Zea mays: one gene and its partners. The main gene of each other region encodes a partner of the protein of the gene in region 3 in a complex. Links are inferred from orthologs where the notes say so. Each region holds a gene or a part of one and is shown on either strand. Other genes may lie near its edges. The genes, in order: NAD(P)H-quinone oxidoreductase subunit N, chloroplastic; Photosynthetic NDH subunit of lumenal location 4, chloroplastic; NAD(P)H-quinone oxidoreductase subunit O, chloroplastic; photosynthetic NDH subunit of lumenal location 1, chloroplastic; Photosynthetic NDH subunit of subcomplex B 5, chloroplastic-like; NAD(P)H-quinone oxidoreductase subunit M, chloroplastic; ndhJ.

The links.
Region 1: NAD(P)H-quinone oxidoreductase subunit O, chloroplastic (region 3) and NAD(P)H-quinone oxidoreductase subunit N, chloroplastic share a complex: the UniProt entries of both Arabidopsis thaliana proteins name them as parts of the chloroplast NDH complex. The link is inferred for Zea mays from reciprocal best matches to the Arabidopsis thaliana genes NdhO and NdhN.
Region 2: NAD(P)H-quinone oxidoreductase subunit O, chloroplastic (region 3) and Photosynthetic NDH subunit of lumenal location 4, chloroplastic share a complex: the UniProt entries of both Arabidopsis thaliana proteins name them as parts of the chloroplast NDH complex. The link is inferred for Zea mays from reciprocal best matches to the Arabidopsis thaliana genes NdhO and PnsL4.
Region 4: NAD(P)H-quinone oxidoreductase subunit O, chloroplastic (region 3) and photosynthetic NDH subunit of lumenal location 1, chloroplastic share a complex: the UniProt entries of both Arabidopsis thaliana proteins name them as parts of the chloroplast NDH complex. The link is inferred for Zea mays from reciprocal best matches to the Arabidopsis thaliana genes NdhO and PnsL1.
Region 5: NAD(P)H-quinone oxidoreductase subunit O, chloroplastic (region 3) and Photosynthetic NDH subunit of subcomplex B 5, chloroplastic-like share a complex: the UniProt entries of both Arabidopsis thaliana proteins name them as parts of the chloroplast NDH complex. The link is inferred for Zea mays from reciprocal best matches to the Arabidopsis thaliana genes NdhO and PnsB5.
Region 6: NAD(P)H-quinone oxidoreductase subunit O, chloroplastic (region 3) and NAD(P)H-quinone oxidoreductase subunit M, chloroplastic share a complex: the UniProt entries of both Arabidopsis thaliana proteins name them as parts of the chloroplast NDH complex. The link is inferred for Zea mays from reciprocal best matches to the Arabidopsis thaliana genes NdhO and NdhM.
Region 7: the proteins of NAD(P)H-quinone oxidoreductase subunit O, chloroplastic (region 3) and ndhJ are in contact, whole or in part, in a cryo-EM structure (PDB 7WFG), measured with the Arabidopsis thaliana proteins. The link is inferred for Zea mays from reciprocal best matches to the Arabidopsis thaliana genes NdhO and ndhJ. Residues at the interface, in NP_565093.1 of Arabidopsis thaliana: Ser91, Ile92, Leu95, Asp107, Tyr108, Ile109, Tyr127, Val130, Ile135, Pro136, Thr137, Pro139, Ala140, Trp141, Leu142; in NP_051062.1 of Arabidopsis thaliana: Ala60, Pro61, Ile138, Gly139, Arg143, Lys144, Asp145, Tyr146, Ile147, Ala148, Pro149, Asn150, Ile154, Gln155.

What each region holds. Positions count from the first base shown.
Region 1 is NC_050098.1:176,087,654-176,091,037, reverse strand, and holds NAD(P)H-quinone oxidoreductase subunit N, chloroplastic, read right to left. Parts: upstream 1,932-3,384; 5' UTR 1,865-1,931; coding exon 1,511-1,864; intron 1,141-1,510; coding exon 1,024-1,140; intron 912-1,023; coding exon 826-911; intron 721-825; coding exon 651-720; 3' UTR 501-650; downstream 1-500. UniProt on the Arabidopsis thaliana protein: NDH shuttles electrons from NAD(P)H:plastoquinone, via FMN and iron-sulfur (Fe-S) centers, to quinones in the photosynthetic chain and possibly in a chloroplast respiratory chain.
Region 2 is NC_050100.1:216,381,265-216,384,727, forward strand, and holds Photosynthetic NDH subunit of lumenal location 4, chloroplastic, read left to right. Parts: upstream 1-1,296; 5' UTR 1,297-1,315; coding exon 1,316-1,705; intron 1,706-1,901; coding exon 1,902-1,994; intron 1,995-2,096; coding exon 2,097-2,157; intron 2,158-2,264; coding exon 2,265-2,333; intron 2,334-2,455; coding exon 2,456-2,523; 3' UTR 2,524-2,568; intron 2,569-2,646; exon of another isoform or gene 2,647-2,688; 3' UTR 2,689-2,963; downstream 2,964-3,463. UniProt on the Arabidopsis thaliana protein: NDH shuttles electrons from NAD(P)H:plastoquinone, via FMN and iron-sulfur (Fe-S) centers, to quinones in the photosynthetic chain and possibly in a chloroplast respiratory chain.
Region 3 is NC_050103.1:163,552,443-163,555,383, reverse strand, and holds NAD(P)H-quinone oxidoreductase subunit O, chloroplastic, read left to right. Parts: upstream 1-1,229; 5' UTR 1,230-1,381; coding exon 1,382-1,580; intron 1,581-1,692; coding exon 1,693-1,856; intron 1,857-1,969; coding exon 1,970-2,029; intron 2,030-2,133; coding exon 2,134-2,163; 3' UTR 2,164-2,441; downstream 2,442-2,941. Other genes in the region: Phosphatidylserine decarboxylase proenzyme 2, read right to left, coding at 258-337, 531-716. UniProt on the Arabidopsis thaliana protein: NDH shuttles electrons from NAD(P)H:plastoquinone, via FMN and iron-sulfur (Fe-S) centers, to quinones in the photosynthetic chain and possibly in a chloroplast respiratory chain.
Region 4 is NC_050096.1:42,029,523-42,033,417, forward strand, and holds photosynthetic NDH subunit of lumenal location 1, chloroplastic, read left to right. Parts: upstream 1-1,372; 5' UTR 1,373-1,556; coding exon 1,557-1,598; intron 1,599-1,677; coding exon 1,678-1,798; intron 1,799-1,894; coding exon 1,895-1,981; intron 1,982-2,104; coding exon 2,105-2,178; intron 2,179-2,266; coding exon 2,267-2,389; intron 2,390-2,582; coding exon 2,583-2,654; intron 2,655-2,791; coding exon 2,792-2,888; intron 2,889-2,988; coding exon 2,989-3,098; 3' UTR 3,099-3,395; downstream 3,396-3,895. Other genes in the region: ABC transporter B family member 20, read right to left, coding at 3,558-3,895. UniProt on the Arabidopsis thaliana protein: NDH shuttles electrons from NAD(P)H:plastoquinone, via FMN and iron-sulfur (Fe-S) centers, to quinones in the photosynthetic chain and possibly in a chloroplast respiratory chain.
Region 5 is NC_050098.1:158,250,019-158,253,420, reverse strand, and holds Photosynthetic NDH subunit of subcomplex B 5, chloroplastic-like, read left to right. Parts: upstream 1-1,332; 5' UTR 1,333-1,375; coding exon 1,376-1,645; intron 1,646-1,862; coding exon 1,863-1,917; intron 1,918-2,077; coding exon 2,078-2,146; intron 2,147-2,236; coding exon 2,237-2,295; intron 2,296-2,511; coding exon 2,512-2,748; 3' UTR 2,749-2,902; downstream 2,903-3,402. Other genes in the region: putative transmembrane protein kinase family protein, read right to left, coding at 3,366-3,402. UniProt on the Arabidopsis thaliana protein: NDH shuttles electrons from NAD(P)H:plastoquinone, via FMN and iron-sulfur (Fe-S) centers, to quinones in the photosynthetic chain and possibly in a chloroplast respiratory chain.
Region 6 is NC_050097.1:23,630,826-23,633,939, reverse strand, and holds NAD(P)H-quinone oxidoreductase subunit M, chloroplastic, read left to right. Parts: upstream 1-1,427; 5' UTR 1,428-1,595; coding exon 1,596-2,051; intron 2,052-2,260; coding exon 2,261-2,437; 3' UTR 2,438-2,614; downstream 2,615-3,114. Other genes in the region: uncharacterized protein, read left to right, coding at 95-282, 506-626, 813-884; uncharacterized LOC100502247, read right to left, coding at 2,840-2,917. UniProt on the Arabidopsis thaliana protein: NDH shuttles electrons from NAD(P)H:plastoquinone, via FMN and iron-sulfur (Fe-S) centers, to quinones in the photosynthetic chain and possibly in a chloroplast respiratory chain.
Region 7 is NC_001666.2:50,035-52,241, reverse strand, and holds ndhJ (NADH dehydrogenase subunit J), read left to right. Parts: upstream 1-1,227; coding exon 1,228-1,707; downstream 1,708-2,207. Other genes in the region: ndhC (NADH dehydrogenase subunit 3), read left to right, coding at 25-387; ndhK (NADH dehydrogenase subunit K), read left to right, coding at 441-1,124. UniProt on the Arabidopsis thaliana protein: NDH shuttles electrons from NAD(P)H:plastoquinone, via FMN and iron-sulfur (Fe-S) centers, to quinones in the photosynthetic chain and possibly in a chloroplast respiratory chain.

The DNA of each region.
Region 1 (3,384 bases), on a different chromosome or scaffold from region 3:
TTTTGGATAGAAAATTAGAAGATAGGGGAAGAATCTGAAGAAGGCTCCTCGAAGAAACTTCTTTACCTCCCATCCACATGTGGTGTTCTAGTTTCTGATATGCGTTTTTTTTTTGGGTTAATTCATTCATCTTATGTTCGTTGCTTCTGTGTGAGGGGAAAGCACTTCCTCGCTCTACTCGTGCGGAAGCGATCCATTCTTTCGTGTCCAACTCACACGTCAAGAATATCGAAATGTGGACCCTTTTCAGCGCGCTCTTTAATTCAGCTTACCTGAGCATCAATGGTGAAGGAAGAATGCAAGCTCATTGACCAAGGTGGCAATGATGTCGCCGATCCACAACGCGATGGAGACGAGGACAGTGATCTCGTGTGCCTGCGCTCTCGTGTTCGGCTGTGCGCCTGGGTTCTGAGAATCCTAAACGCGTCGCGGCCGTGAACTATTCACATGTATGGAAATCTGTACATGGTTCGCATTCTTTCTCTTCTGACACTCGTGCCAAAAAAATGTATGTATATCTTTATTAATTGCCTCTCTCATTCAGTGCAAAGCTGCAGGAATGGCAGGGAGAGATGTCCCAGAAGCAATTGGAGAGTGTAGCAGTAGCAGTAGCCAGTCTGGTAGACAACTAGCTAGACCTGCTTGCTTGATCATTCCTCCGCGTCCGGGTCCGGCTCGAGGCCTGCGATCTGCTTCAGTGGCTTCCAAACAAAGCTTCTCCTGCACGCGTGCAACAGGGCCACACGTACGTAATCAGGCCTTAGCCACAAGTGGTCCCGTGTGGGAAATTTAGACATGGAGGGAGGTAGAAGGAAGCGCATGTACCAGTTGCCGCATTCTGCGATCACCCTGACTTTGGGGCGGATGTCCGGGAGCATGGCCAGGAACTGCAGCTCAGCCTTGGACAGAACCTGCACGTAGACCAGACGAGAGGCCCGAAGAAGAGGTTCAGGAACAGAGCACTCGTCAGTGGTGTGCCGATCGATGGAGGCGCGTGCATGTAGATGTAAGCAGGCACCTCACCTTGGCTTCGATGATCCAGACGACGAGGCCTTTGGCGTCCGGGTGCAGCAGGCTGAGCCTGTAGTCCACCTCCGGCGGGAAGTACCACCGCGCCACCGGCTGCCTGCCGAGGCTAGGCTGCAGTCACCGCACCGCCACTCCAATCGAGTCAGTTCGTCGATCGACCGCTCGGTTCCCGCACGCGACGAAAGGACACGGCACAGCCACAGCAGCAACAACAAGCAAAGAAAGAGAGAAGGGAACGTATGTCGTGCTCACGTGATGTCCGTGCTCATGTGAGCACTTTAAATCGTGAGTGTTCTTTCTTAATCCAACGATTAGTGCTTTTTATTCACTTAAGTCCTCTCACCTTAACGATGAGTGTTCCTGGCCAGCAGCATGATCGTTAGATTAAGAAGGAACACTCACGATTTAAAGTGCTCACATGAGCACGGACGTCGCGTGAGCACGAGATACGTTCCCAAGAAACTAAAGGCGTGCTACGTACCGGGCAGACGGGGTGGACCTTGGTGAGCGTGGTCTCCGGGTCGCCGAGCCCCCGCGCGGAGAGGTCGAGGAAGTAGTAGCCCTGGTAACGGAGGCGGTTCAGGTAGCGGCCCTCGTAGCCGCCCTCGTGCGGCGGGTAGATGGCCAGCGCCTTGTGCTTCTCCACGTCGTCCAGCCACTTGCCCAGGTCCGGCCGCACCAGGTCGCCGCCCACGAAGTCCCACACCGTGCTGCGCACCGACACCGACCCCCGGCCGCCCCGCGACCCGCCGCGCCGGCCGCTGAGGAGCGAAGGCGCCGGGACTGGGGACACGGACACCGCGCGCGCCGCCGCCGCCGTTGCTGCCGACCACATGGTGCTGCTGCCTGCGGCCGTGCGTGTGGGTGGGTGGGAGTGGAAGTGGGACTGTGGGAGGAGTCGCTTGATTGCTTTTGAGCCTGTGGCGGGAAGATGGCTTGCGCTGAAGCTGAAGTGGGGAGGAGGGGTCGCGGATAAGTCTCCAATCCAGGCCGTAGGTTGGTCTGTCAGCCGAACTGCCCAAGACTGAAAGAGCAGAGTACATGTGTTACCACTTACCAATCTGTATTCAGATTCTACTCAGAGATCGCACACAGTACGGATACGTGAATTTTCTTTAGATCCAAACAAAATATTAAAATGCATTAAAAGTTACATAGATCATTAATCCTGTTAAGGCCTATTTTAGAAACTTTAGTTTATTCAGACCCGCCAATTCTGAAGGTGATTTGTGTTTCCAAAGTCTAAACTGTCCCAAAAGAATGTCATCAACTGGAAACCCACGTAAATGCATTTGTTTTAGAACGGAGGGAGTAAAATTTCGGTGTGGATCACGTTGACTTCAGAAGTTATTTGAAAAATTAAAATATAAAGAACTTAAATAAATATTTAGGCATATAACGATTTGAGGACACCAGCTTAAAAAACCTTTTAAATTAAACAGTTAGTAAAGTAGGTCACGCGCTCTTTTTGCTTTTTTTAAAGAAAGATGGATGTTGTGCATCATTTGTTGGGATGGTCGTGCTTAGTCTGTCCCAGCAGGGTTCCAAAATTTTATCCACTAAGATAATATTTCTAGTCTTTCACATCACCATTTAAAAGATTCTATCATGTATATTTTTCATGCCTTCAGCAGCAGCAACCTCTAAATTTTATCATCTATATCTCATCATCTATTTTTTTCCAGCCATATTAATGAGAAAAAATTCAAACGATATTTTTTCCATTCACCAATTGTGTACTCCCTCCGGTCCTGAAAAAGATGTCGTTTTAGACAAGGTTTGAGTGAAACATATAAAACTTTGACTATAAATAATAGTTTTGAAATCTAATATATATATACATATATATATATCTTAAAAATCACTTTTACAAAAGTATAAATATATTAAGAGTTTATTTGTATTTACAAAAATATTGGTCAAAGCTATATTTTGAAGACCGTGTTTATGTTCTAAATGACTAGCTTCTGTTGCATCGGACACTGGTCACTAGAAAAACAATCCTCTTTTAGTTTGTTCCTTATCCGCCACTAGGCAAGGCTATAGAGGAAGTTCGCGGTGGTGACAACATAAGAGGAAAAAGATGGCGCGCATGACAGGACGGTCGTGGAGACCAGTGGCGAACGCAGGATAAAATTATAGGTGGAGCAACATTATAAAAGCTAAATCACTAGATTAGATCACAACTCACAAGATAAAACTAGTTTTATGATGACAATATGGAGGATAAGTAATAATACTAGAAATGTTTCATAATAACATGCATACCGAAATTTCTCTCTTAATCTGCAGTGCGGCACCAAAATCACCGACAAAAATCCAATCTACAGTTAGAAAAGATGTATATTAGATGAA
Region 2 (3,463 bases), on a different chromosome or scaffold from region 3:
AACAGGCGACTAGGCAGCCGACTACTATACATGCAGTTGAAAAAAAACATGGGAGAGAAGGTACTCCGAAATTTTCACTTCTACGGTGCCGAGATTAAAAGATGATTGCACCTGACAGCTGAAAGCTGCACCCCCAAAAAAATTGGTGTAGATTTTTCCCATCAGCTGTTATCTTAACCAGGTCCTATATTGTACTTTTGGTTGGCATTAGGCAAAGTGGTTCACTTTTTGTATTGCGTTGTGTCGTTATATCATCAAAACGTGAGGAAAAAAAAAAGATGCTGGTGGCCGCAGCTAGCGACGTAAATTATAGGATGGTGACGAGTGTGTGTATCCACTGTCAAATCCTAAATATCTTTCTTGAGCCTTATAATTTATCTAAAAAAAGTTTTTTAATACCCAAACTTGTTTGTTCTTCTAAATAGTTACTAGACTTTTGGCAATCCATATTATCTTCCTCTTTGGAACAATAATAGATGCACTAAGATCGTGTCTAGCAGTTACTCACATGGTTATCCAAAACACTGTTATGCACAGTAGATTGCACTATCTGTGGAGTGAAATTTGAATACGGAGATGAAGATGGATAAGCTATTAGAGATATTCTAATAAATTTTGTCTTTATACCATAGTATACTTTGCAAGTAAATAATAAGAATCAAATTTAATAGAAGGTGTACCTTTATTCTTGTTCTTGCAGTACTGCTATAAGTACATAACTTGCTTGCATTAGTACATAACTTGCTTGCATTTTGACCGGAACCCATCATTATCCTTCACAAAAGTAGTTTTGCGACTTATAAAGGTCACCTCGATATTCTTATGGTGTAAACTAATCCCGTTTTATTGAGAGAAAACCTTTGACCATCAAGCATTTTAGGCCTAGTTTAGATACTCTTGGAAGAGGGGGTTGAAGTGCATTGAAATGTATCCAATCAAAACAGACAACACTTGCCATGTCATCGATCACGACCTGCCACGTCAAACGGGGTCGCATATCAGCGTATTTGTCCGCGGCAGGGAGATTTACACGGTCATACGGGTTGGTTTTAGAAACAAAATTACTCTGATGTTAATTTTTAGAAATTGATTTAGAAAATGATTAAAATAAGAAAACTACGTGGGCTGTAGACTGTCCCGAAACTTGCGGCTCGGCCCGGTAAAACCACGGGCCTGCTGCTGCAGTGGCCGGCTGAAACATCCAGAGCCCATGCTGCCTCCGCGCGACGAATTTCGGGGCGTCATTATAAAGACCCGAGCCTGCGCGCCTTGCAGCCACAGTCTGGGGATAATAATCCACACTCCACAAGCAGCCATGGCGCCACCCATCACGTCCCTGTCGTCTCTGATGGCGTCCAGCCCAATCCCGACGCCGCCGCCGCCGCTCCCGAAGACCAGCGGCAGAGCGCTCTCCGTCGCGCCCTGCGGCTCCGCGTCGTCCTCGTCGCCGTCCACTTCCTCGACTCCTCATCCGGTGGCGGCGTCGGCGTCGGCGGGCAGGAGGGGGCTGCTGGCGCTGGGCGCCGGGTTCCTGGCCTCGGCCGCGCTGCTGTCCCCGGCGGGCGACGCCGGCGCCACGCGCATCGAGTACTACGCGACGGTCGGGGACAAGATGTGCGACCTGAGCCTCGTCAAGTCCGGCCTCGCGTACTGCGACGTCGAGGTCGGCACCGGCGTCCAGCCCCCGCGCGGCGAGCTCATCAATGTCAGTACCGAGACCACCGTCTCTTCTTTCCTGCATGCCTTGCGCCTTCCTCTGACTTAACCTACTCTGTAATAGTACAGTGGTCCATTTCCCTTCTGCACGAGTAACTCAGCAACATATGCCGCCATCCTGTTCTGCGTTCTGTGTGCTGCTTGCTTCGGATCCTAATTATATTCGTCCTCTCGATGGTCATCAGGTGCACTACACCGCGAGATTTCCCGACGGTACGCTGTTCGACAGCAGCTACAAGCGCGGGAGGCCACTGACGATGCGCATAGGCGCAGGCAAGGTGTGCATGTATAAGCATCCATTGTCGCTCACTGAAAACGACGTTCAGTTTTCATGCCAGTAAAAAATGATGGTCTGTTTCTTTCGCGTTCTCCGCGTGCAGATCCTCCGAGGGCTTGAACAGGGGATCAGTGGCGGCGGCGGTGTGCCGCCCATGCTTGTTGGTACGGACAGGAACTTGAGCAGTTTTTAGCTGTGCATTAAATATAGAGGCTTTGCTAATTTGGCTTGCTGTTCCATGACTGATGACTCCGTTGCAAACCTGCCTCAGGTGGAAAGCGCAAGCTGATGATACCTGCGTCACTGGCGTACGGGCCTGAACCGGCAGGCTGCTTCTCAGGTCGATTTTCAGAACTGCGCTAAATGACTTCGTACACCATAGATAAGCAAACTGCTCTCGCTCTAGAATTGTCAAGGAGACTGCTTCTCTAGTTTTTTCTTTTGTTTTTCTTTTTTTGACAGGAGACTGCAACATCCCCGGAAACTCCACACTTCTATATGACCTTTTCCTCGTCGGGATCTACAAGTGAGCCCTCGATGACAGGGAATGTTCAGAACCTAAGAGCAGAGACAAGGTCTGTCTGATATGTGTGCCGTGCACAGCGTTATTCTGAACTCGCCTGGTTTTCTGTGACTCACGTCCTTCTTTCCAGAGTAACCGATCGTTTTCGTGTGTCACACATGGAGGGTTTCAGGAGGAATTCTTGGCGGTGAAAGCACCTGCAGAGGCAGAGCCACTTGCAGAAGCTTCTGTACTCCAGAGAGCTACCTGGATTGAATAAAATGATGATATATATAAACCATCCTTGTTACGTAATAACGCCATTGTGGAACTTTGTAAAGACCAATCATATTGTTGACTATATAGCAGTTTGATACAGCCAAAGCGAGCAAGTTATCGGAGGTGTATGTCACATGCGCCACCAGCTTTGCTTGCACAGCCGATACGGAATCGTGAATTTGTTTGTGTCAGTCAGACTGTCAGCGTGACTGGCGAATGGCGTCAAACCCTTCAGCATTCGATCAATCATGCCGACTAAACACTCACGATTCGGATGTGCAGAGAGGTCTCGCGCTCGTGCCTGACACATGTGTGCCCGTAGTAGCTTGGAGCAAAAATTCTCATCGACCGGTTCAGACGGTGCCCGCCTCTGCTGTCTGCCTGAATTGGGGAGGCTGCTGAAGCAACAAAGGCGAAGCTAAACCACTGGCACCATTTCCATGGGTTGTGAAGACGTAGATTTGCAGAAGCGAAAGCGTAAGATAGGACCAAGCCGCATTAGCCGTTGGAGCGCCACATCGGGATCGGGAAACTATTTTGCTTGTGAGAGAGTATCACTGTCACATCACTGGGATGGTTGGGCTTGGGTTATAGGTACTAAAAAAAGTTCCAGTGCAATTTGACCTCACCTCTTTGGCTCTATGTCATTGGTGGTTCCTGGGAGCGCCGAGAGCTGTTTCCTCGGGCCT
Region 3 (2,941 bases):
GTACAGGCAAAGGCGATTCACGATATGGTGGCTCATAACTGGCTGAGGTACTTATCAGCAATCCCGCGTGCGGCGTGGAAGTTAAAATTTACTAGATCGGAGGGCACAGCCAGAGGGACATTTGAGAGTTACCAAGTCGAGGGACACACAGCACGCAGACATGAGAGCGAGACAGGGATATTCTTGCACAGAGGAATGGAAATGGAACAGACATAGGACGAGTATTCGAGCAGTAAATAAAAGCAAGGGCGACGCACTTGTCGGACGTCTCGGTGCGGTACGTGCGGTCGCCGAGAGAGAGGCACGCGAAGAACTTGTCCTTGAACTGCATATCCGCCTGCGCCCGGAAACCGAACAGGAGGATCAACCATGGCGAGTCAAAGTCAGAGTCAGAGAGGCAGAGACAGTGATGCGATACGAATCGAAACCCACGGATTCCGCCTCGGCTGGCCGCGTCGAAGCGGGGAGCGAGACTCGGTGCTAAGGAACATGCGCGTAGCAGCGGAGTTCGCAGCGCGCGGCCCACGTACCTTGGCTATCCGGACGCGTGCGATGCCGGCGAACTCGTCGGCGGCGAGGGCCTTGGAGGAGACCGAGTCGTCGCCGGCGCCGCGGCGCAGGCGGTTGCGCAGGCGGCGGCGGAACCGCGCGAAGCGCGAGGGCAGCGCCTCGCCGGCGCCGGCGCAGGCAGTGGGCCGCGACGCCGAGTGGCCCATCCGGACAGGTTGGTGGGGACTGGGGACGAAGACGGACGGGACGGCGCGGCGCGGCGCGGCGCGCCTTTTGCGGGACGGTGGTGGGCGCGGCGTCAGACAGACAGACAGACGCCTAGGCAGATGGTGGTTGGAAATGGGCCAAAAGTAGAGTCCCTTTTGAATCCAGGCCAACCGCCTGCCTGCCTGCCTGCCCGCGCACGCCGGTTCGTCGCCCGGCCGCGGGCCCCATCGCCACTTTGATAACTCGGTGGACCCACACGTCAGAGGGGTTTTGGAAGGTGTGTAAGGATGGAAGTCAAACCTGTGTTGATGGCGCTGGTGGGACCGGACAAGGAAGATCCACCTGCGTGCGCTGCGCACTGGGGGGGCGCCTGCCTGGCTCTTGGATCCACCCATTTCCCATCGTCGTCTTCTTTTTCTGAATGGGAATCTCCACTTCTTGGTGGTGGCAGGTCATGACAGCAGCCAAAGTAGATGATGATTCCCCCCCCCCCCTCTCTCTCTCTTGCGCTTGCAATGGGAAGCAAATGGCCAACCAATAGCAAAAAGGCAGCCGTGTATCGATCGCCTTATCCGGGTCCTGTGGCACTGGCACACCGCGCGTCCGGATTTGGCTGAGTAGCTGACTAGCTGAGCGAGCAATCCATCCCTTCGCCCGCCGCACCATGGAAGCCCTCGCCTCGGCGCCTCGGGCGCTCTTCCCGCGCGCGTGCCCAGTGGCGACGCCGGCCGGCCCAGCCCGGCGCCGCTCCGCCGCTCCTCACATCTGCAGGGCCTCCGCGGCGGCCGGGGAGGAGACGACGCCGCCGCCGCCGCCGGCGGCCGCTCCCAAGAAGATCCTCAAGAAGAAGCCCGTCTACTCGAGTAAGACGACGACAAGACCCCCCCCCCCCCCCCCCCCACCCCCCCCTACTTCTCCCTCTAGCTCTCGCGCGCGCGGCCATGCATGCATGATGAAACTGGCTGAGCTTTGCAGTGAAGAAAGGGCAGATTGTGCGCGTGGACAAGGAGAAGTACCTGAACAGCATCAATTATCTGTCAGTGGGACACCCGCCCTTCTACAAGGGGCTGGACTACATATACCAAGACCGCGGCGAGGTCTTGGATATCAGGAACTTCGAAACAGGAGAATACGCCCTGGTAATGAAAACTACTTCCATCCGCGCATGCTGTGTTCAGAGTTTCGTCATGCTTTCTGCCTCCACCATACATGTTCAGAGTTTCAGACCAACGCGCGCGTGCATGCATTTCAGATCGCTTGGGTGGGGATCCCGACGCCACCGGCATGGCTACCAACCTACATGCTCATCAAGGTAGCTGATTCATCCCCAGTTGGATCAATCTGTACGTCATGCACCACTCGTCTCACCTCGCTCTCGCTCTCTGTCTCTGTGGCATGTGATTTGTTGCATTGCAGTCGGACAAGCTCGACTACGAGAGGATATGATGGCCGGCCGGCGGCCTCGCAGGGCACCGTAGCGCCGCCGCCGAATTCATGCTTCATTTCGCATCAGGAGTCGGCCAAGCAGGACACACCTCTTGTTGTTGACTTGTTGTAGGTATATACGTACATGCCAGTATTGCCAGAACAGTCGACAGAGGCAATCTGAGACCTCAGCTGCTGGAATAATCAGGAAGTAGATCGAGAGCGACGTACGATGACGAGATTCATAATTGCTGCTGCACATCACTTCTTTATGTTATTTAAACTCACATTTCATAATTAATACTAATAATATATTGTCTCCGTTCTTGAATATTTGTCTCGTCGATAGTTTATTTTCGAATAAAAAACGACAAAATAAAAAAATGATAGTGTACCGATTATGAAGCAGCCACAAACAAAGGTTTATAATATACCTTTCCAGCATTTATATTATGGGTCAAAGTGTATCATCACGCACACGCCTCTGTCTACACTCCGCAGCTAGCCACTGCTGAAATAAACAATGTACAATTAGTCAGGGAGGGAAACAAGGTTGAGCCATCTTTAGATAATCTCTAAGACCGTGTCAACCAACTCCCCTATCTCATCTCATATCACATCCCTTATTTCAGACTTTACTCTATAAACAATGATAAATATTGTTATTTACAGTATCATGTCCTCTATTTTAGGGGATCCACTGAAGACAGTCTAAGTTAGTGTTTAGAATGGCTCGATGCCAAGAAACGACTTTGTTCGAAAAAAATAGGGAGTTGGATGGTTCAAGATTTGATCATAT
Region 4 (3,895 bases), on a different chromosome or scaffold from region 3:
CGTTCTGCTGGCAGGAGCGCAGAGTTCTGGAGGAGCAACTTGGCTGGGCCAGACTGGAGCGGCAAAAGATCCTCGCTTTGTCTGCGGAGGCTGACGATGCAATCTGGCATCTGGCCACGCTCGCACGGAGGAGGATGCAAGAAAGGGACGAGGCCAGGAACCAGGCGAGGATGCTGCTCGCGGACCTCCAGGCAAGGAACGCCCGGATGAAGGCGGCGGTTCCCGGAGCATCGTGCTCCAGAGTCGCGCGGCCTGACGCGTTCGCCGCCACCGGCTACGAGCACATCCAGGCCCAGGCCCAGGCCCAGGCCCAGGCACTCGCTCCTGCCGCGTTCGGGCCGCGGGGGCAGCGTGCCCGTGCGGGAACTGGCTACTACTGCGTTGCGTCGTCCAGCGGCTTCGGCCACAGGAGCATCGACTCGTCTCTGGACACCTGCGCCGTTCAGCCGTCGCTGCTTGGCTTCGCTTCCTCGAGCTCGAGCCAGGAGCATTTCGACCCTGACATGTTCTTGGTGGACGTCGCAGAATCGCCGCAGGATGTCGTTCCGGTTCCGGCCACCGCAGACTCAAGCCAGGGGAGAAGCTCCGGCTCCGGCTCCGGCACTTATGGTCATAGTTTGGCGAGCAAAAGGCCTTGCAGTGAAAGGAAGTAATAAATCATCAGCTCAAGCTGCAGCACGTCCTGCCACGGGCCATGGCCATGCTGCCTAAATCCTAGGCCGGTGCCATGTTAGTGCTTGCTCGGTAAAACTTATAAGATTATTGATGTGTTGTGGATTTGAATGGCGCCTAGTGTCTTTTACTGTGTTTGGTTTAAGGTCAACATGGGATGAGGCGCCCCTCGATTTTTTAGCATCACGCCGCCACCAAAAACTACTCTGGTGTTTACCTCGTTCGTACGTGACTCTCATTCAAACACTATTGAAACTATTTAATTAACTATCAATTAACTAAGGAAAAATCAACCAATTAGTTAAGAAAGGAAACTAACAAACAACTATCAATTAGTTAAAAAAGGGAACTAATTGATCAACTATCAATTAGCTAAGAAAAAACTAATAAATCAACTAAGGAAAAAAACAAATAAACCTAGCTGCATTATGCAACAGGCTTACTAGCATTGAATAATTGTGGCCGTTGTTGTATATCGCTTATCATGGTGTCATGAAATTATGTAACCTGGAAATTTTGTTTTTTTGGCATAAAAATCACTGTATTCAGAACAGTTCGTCTTGGGTCATCAACGACCTACCCACCAGAAGGGCTGTTTGCCTGTTGAGAGGGACGCCCATTTTTGTCAGCCAGTGCTCTGTCCAAGACAAAGAAGCAAGAGTGCTGAAATGAGAGGATAATGAGCATGCTGACTTGGCTGCCTTGGCTTCCACCCACACACTCGATAGGGGAAAAGCGAGCCCTTCCACGGTTCCACCACCCACTCGATAGTGGAAAAGTGAGCTCGAGCGTGTCCAGCAGCTATGGATAACTGACGATGGGGGTAACAAGCTTCACAGAACTCTCCCTCGAGCTCAGCGCTACCCTGAACAACTGAAGCCGAAATGGCGAGCCTGCAGAACCTGGTCTGCTCCGTATCCAAACAAGTACGTGCTCAAGCCCCTTCCTCACTGTTTTTTTCTGGAATTCATTTACTTTCCCTGCAGTTCTGAGGAGTAATAACAGCTTGAACCCGTTGCTTGTTTCCAGCTGGCTGTGCCAAATTGCGCGGCGACTACCAAACTGAACAGGGCTCCTCCCTCAGCTGTGGCGGCGAGCTCGATCCAAGGATCTTTGGACGACACCAGTAACCCCCCCTTTTGTTGTTGTTGTTGTTTTTTTTCCGTTCATGCATCTAGTGGTCGACAGAATCCTGGTTCATAACATCTCTCCGCTTGTATAGAGGTCACGAAGAGACGGCTAGCTTTGCTTGGTGCTGGAGCGTTAGCCACTGGCCTACTGAGGACAAGCTCTGCTGCGTTCGCTGAAGGTAACGATCATCCCTATATAGATGGCCTGGCATTGTATCTATCAGGATCGGACTAGGACGGTGTCCTCGAGCAGCGTTTTTTTTGCGTTTCTTACCTGTTTGACACTGATCGGAGCTGTTCAGAGGTGCCGAAGAATTACAAGTCGTACGTGGACGCGAAAGACGGGTACTCGTACCTTTATCCAGCTGAATGGAGGGTAGGTTGGCGCCATGCGATCGATTCTTGAACAGTTAAGAACTGTAGGGTGATTTTCATGGTGCCTTCGTTCCCTTGTCCCTGGATAGGATTTCGACTTCTTGGGTCATGATTCTGCGTTCAAAGACCGCAACCTGGCCCTTCAGTGTGTTCGTGTGGGGTTCATTCCTACCGAGAAAACAGACATCCGCGACCTAGGACCGATGGATGAGGTGGGGGTTTTGTTTCCTTCTTTCGACTATGTATTCTTCTTCTTTTTTATGGAAAAACTATGTGTTCTTCACTTTGATTAGGCACAAAAGATAAAACACATACTCTCTCCTCCGTTTAAATTATATACGTTTTAGCTCTGATAATCACTTTTGCTGATGTGATGAATATGTTTTTTTTTCCACATTACACCAGGCCATCTTCAACCTGGTAAACAACGTCTACGCTGCCCCGAACCAAATACCGTCGATCTACGACATGCAAGAGGTCTGTCATCTGTTCATCGCTTTATGCATGCAATTATCATTTGTTTGGAGTTGCCAAATCTAGTTGGATAACTCTGAGCAAAAAAATAAAAAAAATGGTGCTAGTGAAATAAGCGGCCTATCCTACTATTTTTGCAGCGCACCGTGGACGGCAAGAACTACTGGACGTTTGAGTACGATCTGGAGGCTCCGGGCTACGGCGTTTCTGCGTTTGCGACGGTCGCCATTGGAAACGGTATGATACCTATGAACGGGAAACGTTCATGTGTTTCGCTTCGCGTTGAAATAGAGAGAGATGAAACTCTGTTTGTTTGTTTGTTTTTTGCTCTAACTAGGTCGGTACTACACGCTGATCGTGACCGCGAACGAGCGCCGGTGGAGCAGGCTGCGGAACAGGCTCAAAGTCGTCGCGGACTCCTTCAAGATCTCGGACCTGACGGCGTGATCGCTTGCTTCTGTGACGGCCTCATGAGCATGGTGCGGCAACTTGTTTAGCGAAAGATGGGGGGGGGGGGGGGGGGGGGGGGGGGGGGAATGTGGTTGCATTGCTGTCGGTTCGTGGCTCCCAAAATTACACGCTCCGTGAACATGTCGGTGCAACACTAATATTACAGAGGCGAGAGACACCACAAGCACGAGCCTCTGAAAGAATGTTTCAGCTCATATATTACAACAATTACAATGCCCTCCAAACTTGCTAACTATTTCCAGAATTACTTGGATCTGCAAGCTATTTTTTTTATTTTTTTGTCAAGAAGACCAGGTCGGCTTACTCGGAACAGCAACAGGGCGGCAACTCCCAGCATTTTTCATGTGCCGAAAAGGGCCCCTGACTGAGTGGCCGCACAAGGAAACCTGATCATCCCCTAGGATAATTTACACCTAAACAAACTCAAAAGAATAATTACATTAGCCGATGCTGGCGAAGGCCCTTGCCAAAATGGGGTTGCATCAATCTAACATATAGACCGTTCTGGTCCATCAGAGAGTCATGTGTGCCCTGCTCAACTATCCTACCGCCATTCAAGACGACGATGTTATCAACATGCTTCATCATTGCCGCCCTGTGCGCAATGAGAATCGTTGTCTTGTTACCCATGACCAGAGTGTCTAGAGCTTCTTGCACCACTCTACTCGATTCAGACTCGATCGCAGAGCTGGCCTCGTCCAACAGCAATATAGGTGCGTTCTTCAAAACCACCCTAGCGATGGCAATCCGTTGCTTCTGTCCAGGTGTCAGAT
Region 5 (3,402 bases), on a different chromosome or scaffold from region 3:
TTGGTAGTGTTAGGCTGTCTCCAACAAGGGGCGCTAAAGCGTTCGGTATGCTATATTTAGCGTTTCTCGGTGTCCGCTATCGCTCCAGCAAGAACCGGCAAATGGTCCGCTAAAATATAGCGGCAGCTCGACGACCGGTAAATGTGGAGTGTTGTTGTTCATCCGCTATCCATCCGCACAGAGTTGTTGTCTGGTTCTTCTCGTCTTCGCCAACAGCATGCCACAGCACGACAGCTCTGCTACTCCACCCGTTGAGTACCACGACAGCTCTGCTACGTTCGGTATGAGAGATTATGCACGAAATCATCTCTGTATTTTCAGTGCAGCAACGTGATTTCATTTTATTTGTGTCTTGTTGCTTTATTTTCACCTTCCAGACTGAAGTTGAGTCACATTGACTCTCCGCCAACTGGTAAGGACAGAGGCAGGGCTTCGAGGCGTTCACGAGTAGAGTACTGGTGATGTCAGAGCTTTACTCATCGTTCGATTACAGTAAAAAAAAATGCATGGGCAGTTTATTGATGCAGTGATGCTAGCCTTTTTTTCTCTTACTATGAAGATGGGGGACTATGTTGTCTTGATACCAAAAGAACTGGGAGCAATTGCATTTTTTTTGTATAATACTAATTTAAGAAACTGGTTTGTTGATTACTAGGCTTAAGGATCTGATCTGTAACAATGTCATGTGCGGGTCTTCTTGTGACATCGCAATCTCGAGGGCACCCCAAGGCCGCCAAATGTTCTAGTGTCCATTGATGCTTGGTAAGAATTCAGTTAGAGCTTTACATGCAAATTAGTACTGTATATTTATTTGTAAACATAGCACCATTGTACTACTAATTAACTGTGTATATCTAAACCCTAAACCCTAGGTTGATGAAGACGTTCTAGCAACCAACCATAGGTCGCTATAAAAAAATCGTTGTGTAGTGTATGAGAGAATTTAGAAAGAACCACTCCATATACATGGAAAAATTTAAAGGACAGGGTTACAGATAATCCTACAAAGAGTGAGTTCTCACTTGTTTTGTTGGTGTCCGTTGACCAAAGCACATGCGACAGTTTCTTACAAATATAGCGCACAGAATCACGATTTTTTTTGGCGGGGGGAGGGGTTACTGTGGGACGTCCGTAGGTGTTCAGTTCCACAGAATCGTACCGAGTTTTTATGAGCTGATTATTTCCAGAAACGAAAAAAGGGACAGGAAAAGACAGCGGAAAAATCCTGGACGGTAGGTGTCCAACTCCAGCGCACCATTATCCGCTTGCTTTTTTGTCTCTTGGCCGCAACGTGAAGTGCAGCAGCAGCCAGCAGCGGGGGCTGGAGCACTCACCAGTCACCACTCAGCAGCGATCGCAGCACCGCGGCGAGATAATGAGCAGCCTGTCCTCCGGCATCTCTGCCTCGCCATCTGCAGCGCCCAGCACCGCTCGGCGCCGCCATGACGCAGCGCCGCAGCAGCTGAGGGTGAAGGCGGCGGCGCGGCCACAGCTGCTGCACGCCGGCCGCCGGCGTTCGAGTGTCGGGAGGAGGCCGGGCGGCGGCGCGGTGGTGGTGAGGGCCGGGCCTGGGCCGCTGTCGGAGATCGAGCCGGACCTGGAGGAGGACGCCATCGACGTGTACCGCACCAACGGCATCAGCCCGGTCCGTCGTCGTCGTCCCTCGTTTCCTTCCTTTTCTTCTCTTCTCTTCTCGGTTGTCGTTCCGCGCTTAGTTAGTTAGACTAGGAACACGCAGGAAAGCAGTGAACCTTGACGTAGGTTGTGCTATGAACGAGAGCTCTGAAGAACGGAGTACGTTTCGTTCGTTCGTTCGTGGATGACACTGGAGAGGATCTGTCTTGTCTTGTCTTGTCTTGCAGGAGGACTTCGAGTACGGGAAGTATGACGGACACCACACCTATTTCGAAGGCCAAGGTATTACTATCCTCCCAGAAAAAAATAAGAACTCCATTGTTCATGATATGATATCCTTCATTGCAAAAAGAAAAAGAAATAATAGTCCACTGATTGTTTTGTGCTGTGGTGAAACAAAAACCTGCAAACAACCGCAACACCCCCCGCTTTTCTTCCCAAGACAAGAAGGGCTTCTGGGAGGATGTCTCCGAGTGGTACCAAGAAGCTGAGCCTCCTCAGGGCTTTCAAGGTACTACCACTACTGTGTAGCTCTTTCAGATCTTTATGCTTCTGCCTTGCTCATTTGTTGCACTGCATCAATGGCGGCGATCTCTTGCAGCACTCATCTCCTGGGCATTTCCTCCTGCGATCATCCTCGGCATGGCTTTCAATGTGCCGGTAAGGATCCAGCACTTCCTCCTCCCAGTACCTAGTCCCCTGTTTGGAACACGAAGTTTCCTGGTCGGAAGTGAATTGTGCTTTCTGTCGGGAAAGTGAATTGTTTCCTGTGAAATTCCTGCGCTCCAAGCATTTGTGCCCCAAAAAAAAAAAAAAAAAAAACTCGTCACCTGCATCTACTGATCGGATCGGAGACGCGTCTGCTTGTGTCGCCAGGGGGAGTACCTGTACATCGGGGCGGCCGTCTTCATCGTGGTGTTCTGCGTCATCGAGATGGGCAAGCCCGACAAGCCGCACAACTTCGAGCCGGAGATCTACATGATGGAGAGGTCGGCCCGCGACAAGCTCATCGCCGACTACAACTCCATGGACATCTGGGACTTCAACGAGAAGTACGGCGAGCTCTGGGACTTCACCGTCAACACCAGGGACGACATCGTCAAGTCGACCTAGATGCATTGCGTACACCGCTCGCTGCCCTTCAGATTGTTGCCTCACAGCAAAAAAAACCCTGTGAAAGGAAGCTGTAGCTGCTAGGAAAATCTCTTGAATAAAAAGGAAAGCCATCCTTCCTGTAAGACTGGAGAGCCTGAAAATCTGTTCTATCCTCGTGCCATATAATACACGACATGTTCTGCAGACTGTTGCTTCAACTTTCTGCATGAATTGCCTTTGTTTTCATGTTTTCTCCAATACTTTGAAGGGAAGAGAAAAAAAAACACATGCAAGACTGATGCGCTGAACAATCAAGAGCCGCTGGTTTGCCACCACCCACCCATTCTTATTATTATTCAACAAAAGGAAAATGTCATTAATTCCCCTAAAAACATGTGCAGAAAAGGGAGAATTAGGAAGGAACCATCAGGGTAACAAAACTGGGGAGAAAAAAAGGGTAAGCCTCGCAGCTGTTTCCTCTCTTTTTTTTTTACACTTGGGATGCAGCTGGCTCGCTATGAAGACGGGCTCTTCTTTTTTTTCCCGAATTCCGAAAGAGAACAAGGCTGGTCTACTGCCCTGAGGAGGAGAGAACTAGCTTTTCTTCTAGACTACACATCCCACTGATGTTTGTTTCACCTGGATGTTCTGAAGAGCTGACTGCCTAGAGTC
Region 6 (3,114 bases), on a different chromosome or scaffold from region 3:
CTCTTGGCCTGGACGAGAAGTGTCGTTGTTTCACCGATCAAACCTTGTTTTCCGACAAAACACGGCTGCGTTGACTCTCCGCCGCAAAACCTCTATGGATTTCCACGAGAAGGATGCGCGCAGCTATGACGCGCATGGCCCTGCTCCCGCCCTCCCCCTCGTCCGCCTGAACCACGTCTCGTTCCAGTGCGAGTCCGTGGAAGCATCGGTCGGCTTCTACCAGCGCGTGCTTGGCTTCGAGCTCGTCAAACGCCCGGCGTCCCTCGACTTCGGAGGAGCATGGTGAGCAGCCATTTCGCACTACATATATACCACTGCCTAGCTAGTGCCTGTTTCTTGTCCATCGATTTATTATTATTATTATTATTATTATTATTATTATTATTATTATTATTATTATTATTATTATTATTATTATTATTATTATTATTATTATTATTATTATTATTATTATTATTATTATTATTTTCGCCAAGGTGAGGTCAACTCGTTGCGTGCTTTCCAGGATGCACAGGTACGGCATGGGGATATATCTACTGCAGCGCGGCTCGGATTCGTCGCCCAACGCTCCGGCAGCTGCAAGACCGCCGGCGATCAACCCCAAGGGCAACCACATTTCCTTTCAGGTGACCACCAGAGCGCTCTCGCAGAATTAAGAAACTGGATAGGCAGCCAAATTTAGTCCAATCCAAGCAGAGAGGATCCTTGCTCTCGCGCAGAGTTGACCTGCTTAGTTAGTACGAGTACTTAGTAGTAGCAGTAACCAGTAAGCACCCGCTGATCGGGTGTGCTCGTTTGGCAATGGCGTGCAGTGCACGGACATGGGGCTCATGAAGACGAGGCTGGGTGACATGGAGCTGGAGTTCGTGGCGGCGCGGGTGTGAGACGGCGAGACGGTGGTGGAGCAGCTCTTCTTCCGCGACCCAGACGGCAATGTGGTCGAGGTCTGCGACTGCGAGAAGCTCCCCGTGATACCCCTCGCAGATGCAGGCAGCACCGGCCTTCTTCCAAATACGCTGCTGCTGCCGGTGGAAACGAACTTGCATGGCTAGTTCGTGGTGCTTGCTCATTGGTTGCTTAGCACGATTATTTGATTCGTGTGATTAGATTTGTGAGCTGTAACAATACTGTAATAACAGGCAGTTCTGCACGCTATTGTACATATGTTGCAAGTGTCCGTACGTAGTGTAATGTGTATGTACAGGTTCGGAGATTGCCGGGTTAGGCGTCTTCCAAGCTGAATTTACGTAGTGTTGTGCGTAATGCTTGTGCAATGGCGATGAAAGCTGGTGCTCTTCAGTACTCTGTGCGAGACTGACGACAAACCGCGTACCCCGAAATCGCAAGGCAACCGCCGCACCAGCGTTCAGAGCCCAATGAGTCTGGAAGCCTGCTTGGCCCAATGGTGCGCTGTGCAAAAGTGCAAACCGAAACCGAAGTCAGTGGCAGAAACGGCCCTTATCCACACACACAAAAAAGTACGCGACACAAGCCACGCTCTCCGCTTGTGGCTAAGCTGCTGCACGCGCGGAACGACAAAAATCCAGCACTAGCCAAAGCACAGGCGAAGAAGCAGGCGAGAGGCCACCACAAACATGGCGACCACGGCGTTTCTACCCCCGGCCAAGCTGCCGCTGCAGGGGCGTCGGTTCGCTAGCCCCAAAACGGCGGGACGTATCAGCGTCAGGGTCCCTCCGGCGCGAGCGCAGCAAGAGCAGCAGGTGAAGGAGGAGGAGGCCGAGGTGGCGAGCGTGCCGCCGCCACAGGACGCGGAGAAGCAGGCGAGGAAGGGGGACGCGCAGTCCCTGCCGCGGCAGCCTTTGGCGGAGAGCAAGAACATGAGCCGCGAGTACGGCGGGCAGTGGCTGAGCAGCACCACGCGGCACGTCCGCATCTACGCTGCGTACATCGACCCGGTGACCAACGCGTTCGACCAGACGCAGATGGACAAGCTGACGCTCATGCTCGACCCCCAGGACGAGTTCGCCTGGACCGACGAGGCCTGCCAGATGGTCTTCAACGAGTTCCAGGACCTCGTCGATCACTACGAGGTAACCTCTGTAGTTGCTCCCACTCCAACAGCTCCGATAGTAGATAAAAAAAATTTGAATTGAATCTCTTGTTGTCTGAAATTCGTACGGTCATTTCCCCCCTTTTCATCTACTTTAGAGCCACTCCTGCCAAAAAAATAAAACATACGGTCTTGGCAAAAGAAGTGATCGGTAAGAGGATAGCTGAGCTCGTTTCTGCTTTGAAACAGGGGGCTGAGCTGTCGGAGTACACACTTCGGTTGATCGGGTCAGACCTTGAGCACTACATCCGCAAACTGCTGTACGACGGGGTGATCAAGTACAACATGAGGTCCAGAGTCCTCAATTTCAGCATGGGCAAGCCTCGCATCAAGTTCAACAGCAACCAGATACCAGAAAAGATATAGAATGTACTTATCCAACGCCCTTAAAAGAATGGTTTCTCTCCATTCGATTACCGAGCAAGATGTATACTCTGCAGTCCCAGATACGATCCAGAGCATTCCAGAATTCATATTACGCAGATGCAAAGCCATACACCGATTCTGTTGGCAGAATTTTGTCACCCCTGCACAGTAATAACCACATAACGAGAGTCTGGGCAAAATAAGGGTTTGCTCGAGTTTAGATACCCCTTCTGTTTCTAGGGCACTCGAATTGGGTTACAGTACACAATACCATAGTTTCTGCTAATAGATACGTATCACCGAATACCACATGAGGTCAGAGAGTTGCACAGAGACGACCGCGCTAACTTACCAAACGACTTTCTGAACTGGATGGAGTAATGGCTAGTATGGGTAAACCCTCTACAAACATTCCATGACAACTCGGTACTTTTTAAATTCATCGCTCCATGGTCTGAATTGGTCTTCTAGCTCAATGTTCTACAGAAGCATAAAGATACAGTAAGGGCTAGTTTGGGAACCTCAATTTTCTAAGGGATTTCTATTTTTCCATGGGAAAATGAACTAATTTCCCTTGGAAAAATAGAAATCCCTTAGGAAATTGGGTTCCCAAACTAGCCCTAAATAATTAAAATTAGGGAACACCACCATGCTATGCTGCTGCTGAGTACTTCGTC
Region 7 (2,207 bases), on a different chromosome or scaffold from region 3:
TTCCACATTAATGGGAGTACATTTATGTTTCTGCTTCACGAATATGATATTTTTTGGACATTTCTAATAATAGCAAGCCTTATTCCTATTTTGGTATTTTGGATTTCAGGACTTTTAGCCCCGGTTAGTGAAGGACCAGAGAAGCTTTCTAGTTATGAATCGGGTATAGAACCCATGGGGGGGGCTTGGTTACAATTCCGAATACGCTATTACATGTTTGCGCTAGTTTTTGTTGTTTTTGATGTGGAAACAGTCTTTCTCTACCCTTGGGCAATGAGTTTCGACGTATTGGGTGTATCCGTTTTTATCGAAGCTTTCATTTTTGTGCTTATCCTAGTTGTTGGTTTAGTTTATGCATGGCGAAAAGGAGCCTTGGAATGGTCTTAACTGAATATTCAGAAAAAAAAAAAAAAGAAGGAAAAGATTCCATTGGGACAATTATGAGTTTGATTGAGTTTCCGTTACTCGACCAAACAAGTTCCAATTCCGTTATTTCAACTACACCAAACGATCTTTCAAATTGGTCAAGACTCTCAAGTTTATGGCCCCTTCTATATGGTACCAGTTGTTGTTTCATTGAATTTGCTTCATTAATAGGCTCACGATTCGACTTTGATCGTTATGGATTGGTACCCAGATCAAGTCCTAGACAAGCGGACCTAATTTTAACAGCTGGTACGGTAACAATGAAAATGGCTCCATCTTTAGTGCGATTATATGAGCAAATGCCTGAACCGAAATACGTCATTGCTATGGGAGCCTGTACTATTACAGGGGGCATGTTCAGTACAGATTCCTATAGTACTGTTCGAGGAGTTGATAAGTTAATTCCTGTGGACGTCTACCTGCCGGGTTGCCCGCCTAAACCAGAGGCTGTTATAGATGCCCTAACAAAACTTCGTAAGAAGATAGCGCGAGAAATAATTGAGGATCGAACTCTATGTCAAAGTCAAAAGAAAAATAGATCTTTTACTACCCGTCACAAACTTTATGTTCGGCGCAGTACTCACACTGGAACTTACGAACAAGAATTGCTCTATCAATCACCATCTACTTTAGATATATCTTCTGAAACTTTTTTCAAATCCAAAAGTTCAGTATCTTCCTACAAATTAGTGAATTAGGAGGGGTTCTTTTGTGCAGAAAAAGAAAGAAAAGAGCAGTACAATCTTTCAAACTTGCATTTGAAATGTGAAATATTTATACAAAGGGGGAGAGATCAAGACAATGCAGCAGGGTTGGTTATCTAATTGGCTAGTTAAACATGACGTGGTTCATAGGTCTTTGGGCTTCGATCATCGAGGAGTAGAGACTTTACAAATAAAAGCGGGGGATTGGGATTCCATTGCTGTCATTTTATATGTATATGGTTACAATTATTTACGTTCCCAATGTGCTTATGACGTAGCACCCGGTGGATCTTTAGCTAGCGTGTATCATCTTACGAGAATACAGTATGGTATAGATAACCCAGAAGAGGTATGCATAAAAGTCTTTGCCCAAAAGGATAATCCTAGAATCCCGTCCGTTTTCTGGGTTTGGAGAAGTGCCGATTTTCAAGAACGCGAATCTTATGATATGGTGGGAATTTCTTATGATAATCATCCACGTCTTAAACGTATCTTAATGCCTGAAAGTTGGATAGGCTGGCCCTTACGTAAGGACTATATAACCCCCAATTTCTATGAAATACAAGATGCTCATTGAGTGATAATAAATTCATGTTCACTTATACAACACAATTCCAGATTTTATTCAAGTCAAGGAATATTTTGACGTTCTGTTCCTAGACGAAACGAAATACTTAGAATATAATATTCTAATTAATTCCTATTATACAAAAGGTCCAGATAGACTGAACAAAAAGGGCTTCATTTCTATTTTCCAATTTGGAAAATCACATATTTGTTTCCTTCGTATGAACAGAAAAATACAATGACTCAAAGAAGTTCCTACCACGAACTTTGTACCGCGCATATTACTTAGAACAACTGGGAAAGTAGGATAAGCAAGAATAAAAAAAAATATATTCTTCGGAATAGCGGTATACAAAATTAATAAGAAATGCAAAATGAAGAAAAGGGCACCTAATCTCACCTCTTTCTATACCATAAAGAACCAGAGATTTAAACCCTTTTTTTTAAAAGAAAAAGAAGTGTGTAGAGATTTATCTACTTACTCTAGAGATTTATCTACTTACTCTAGAC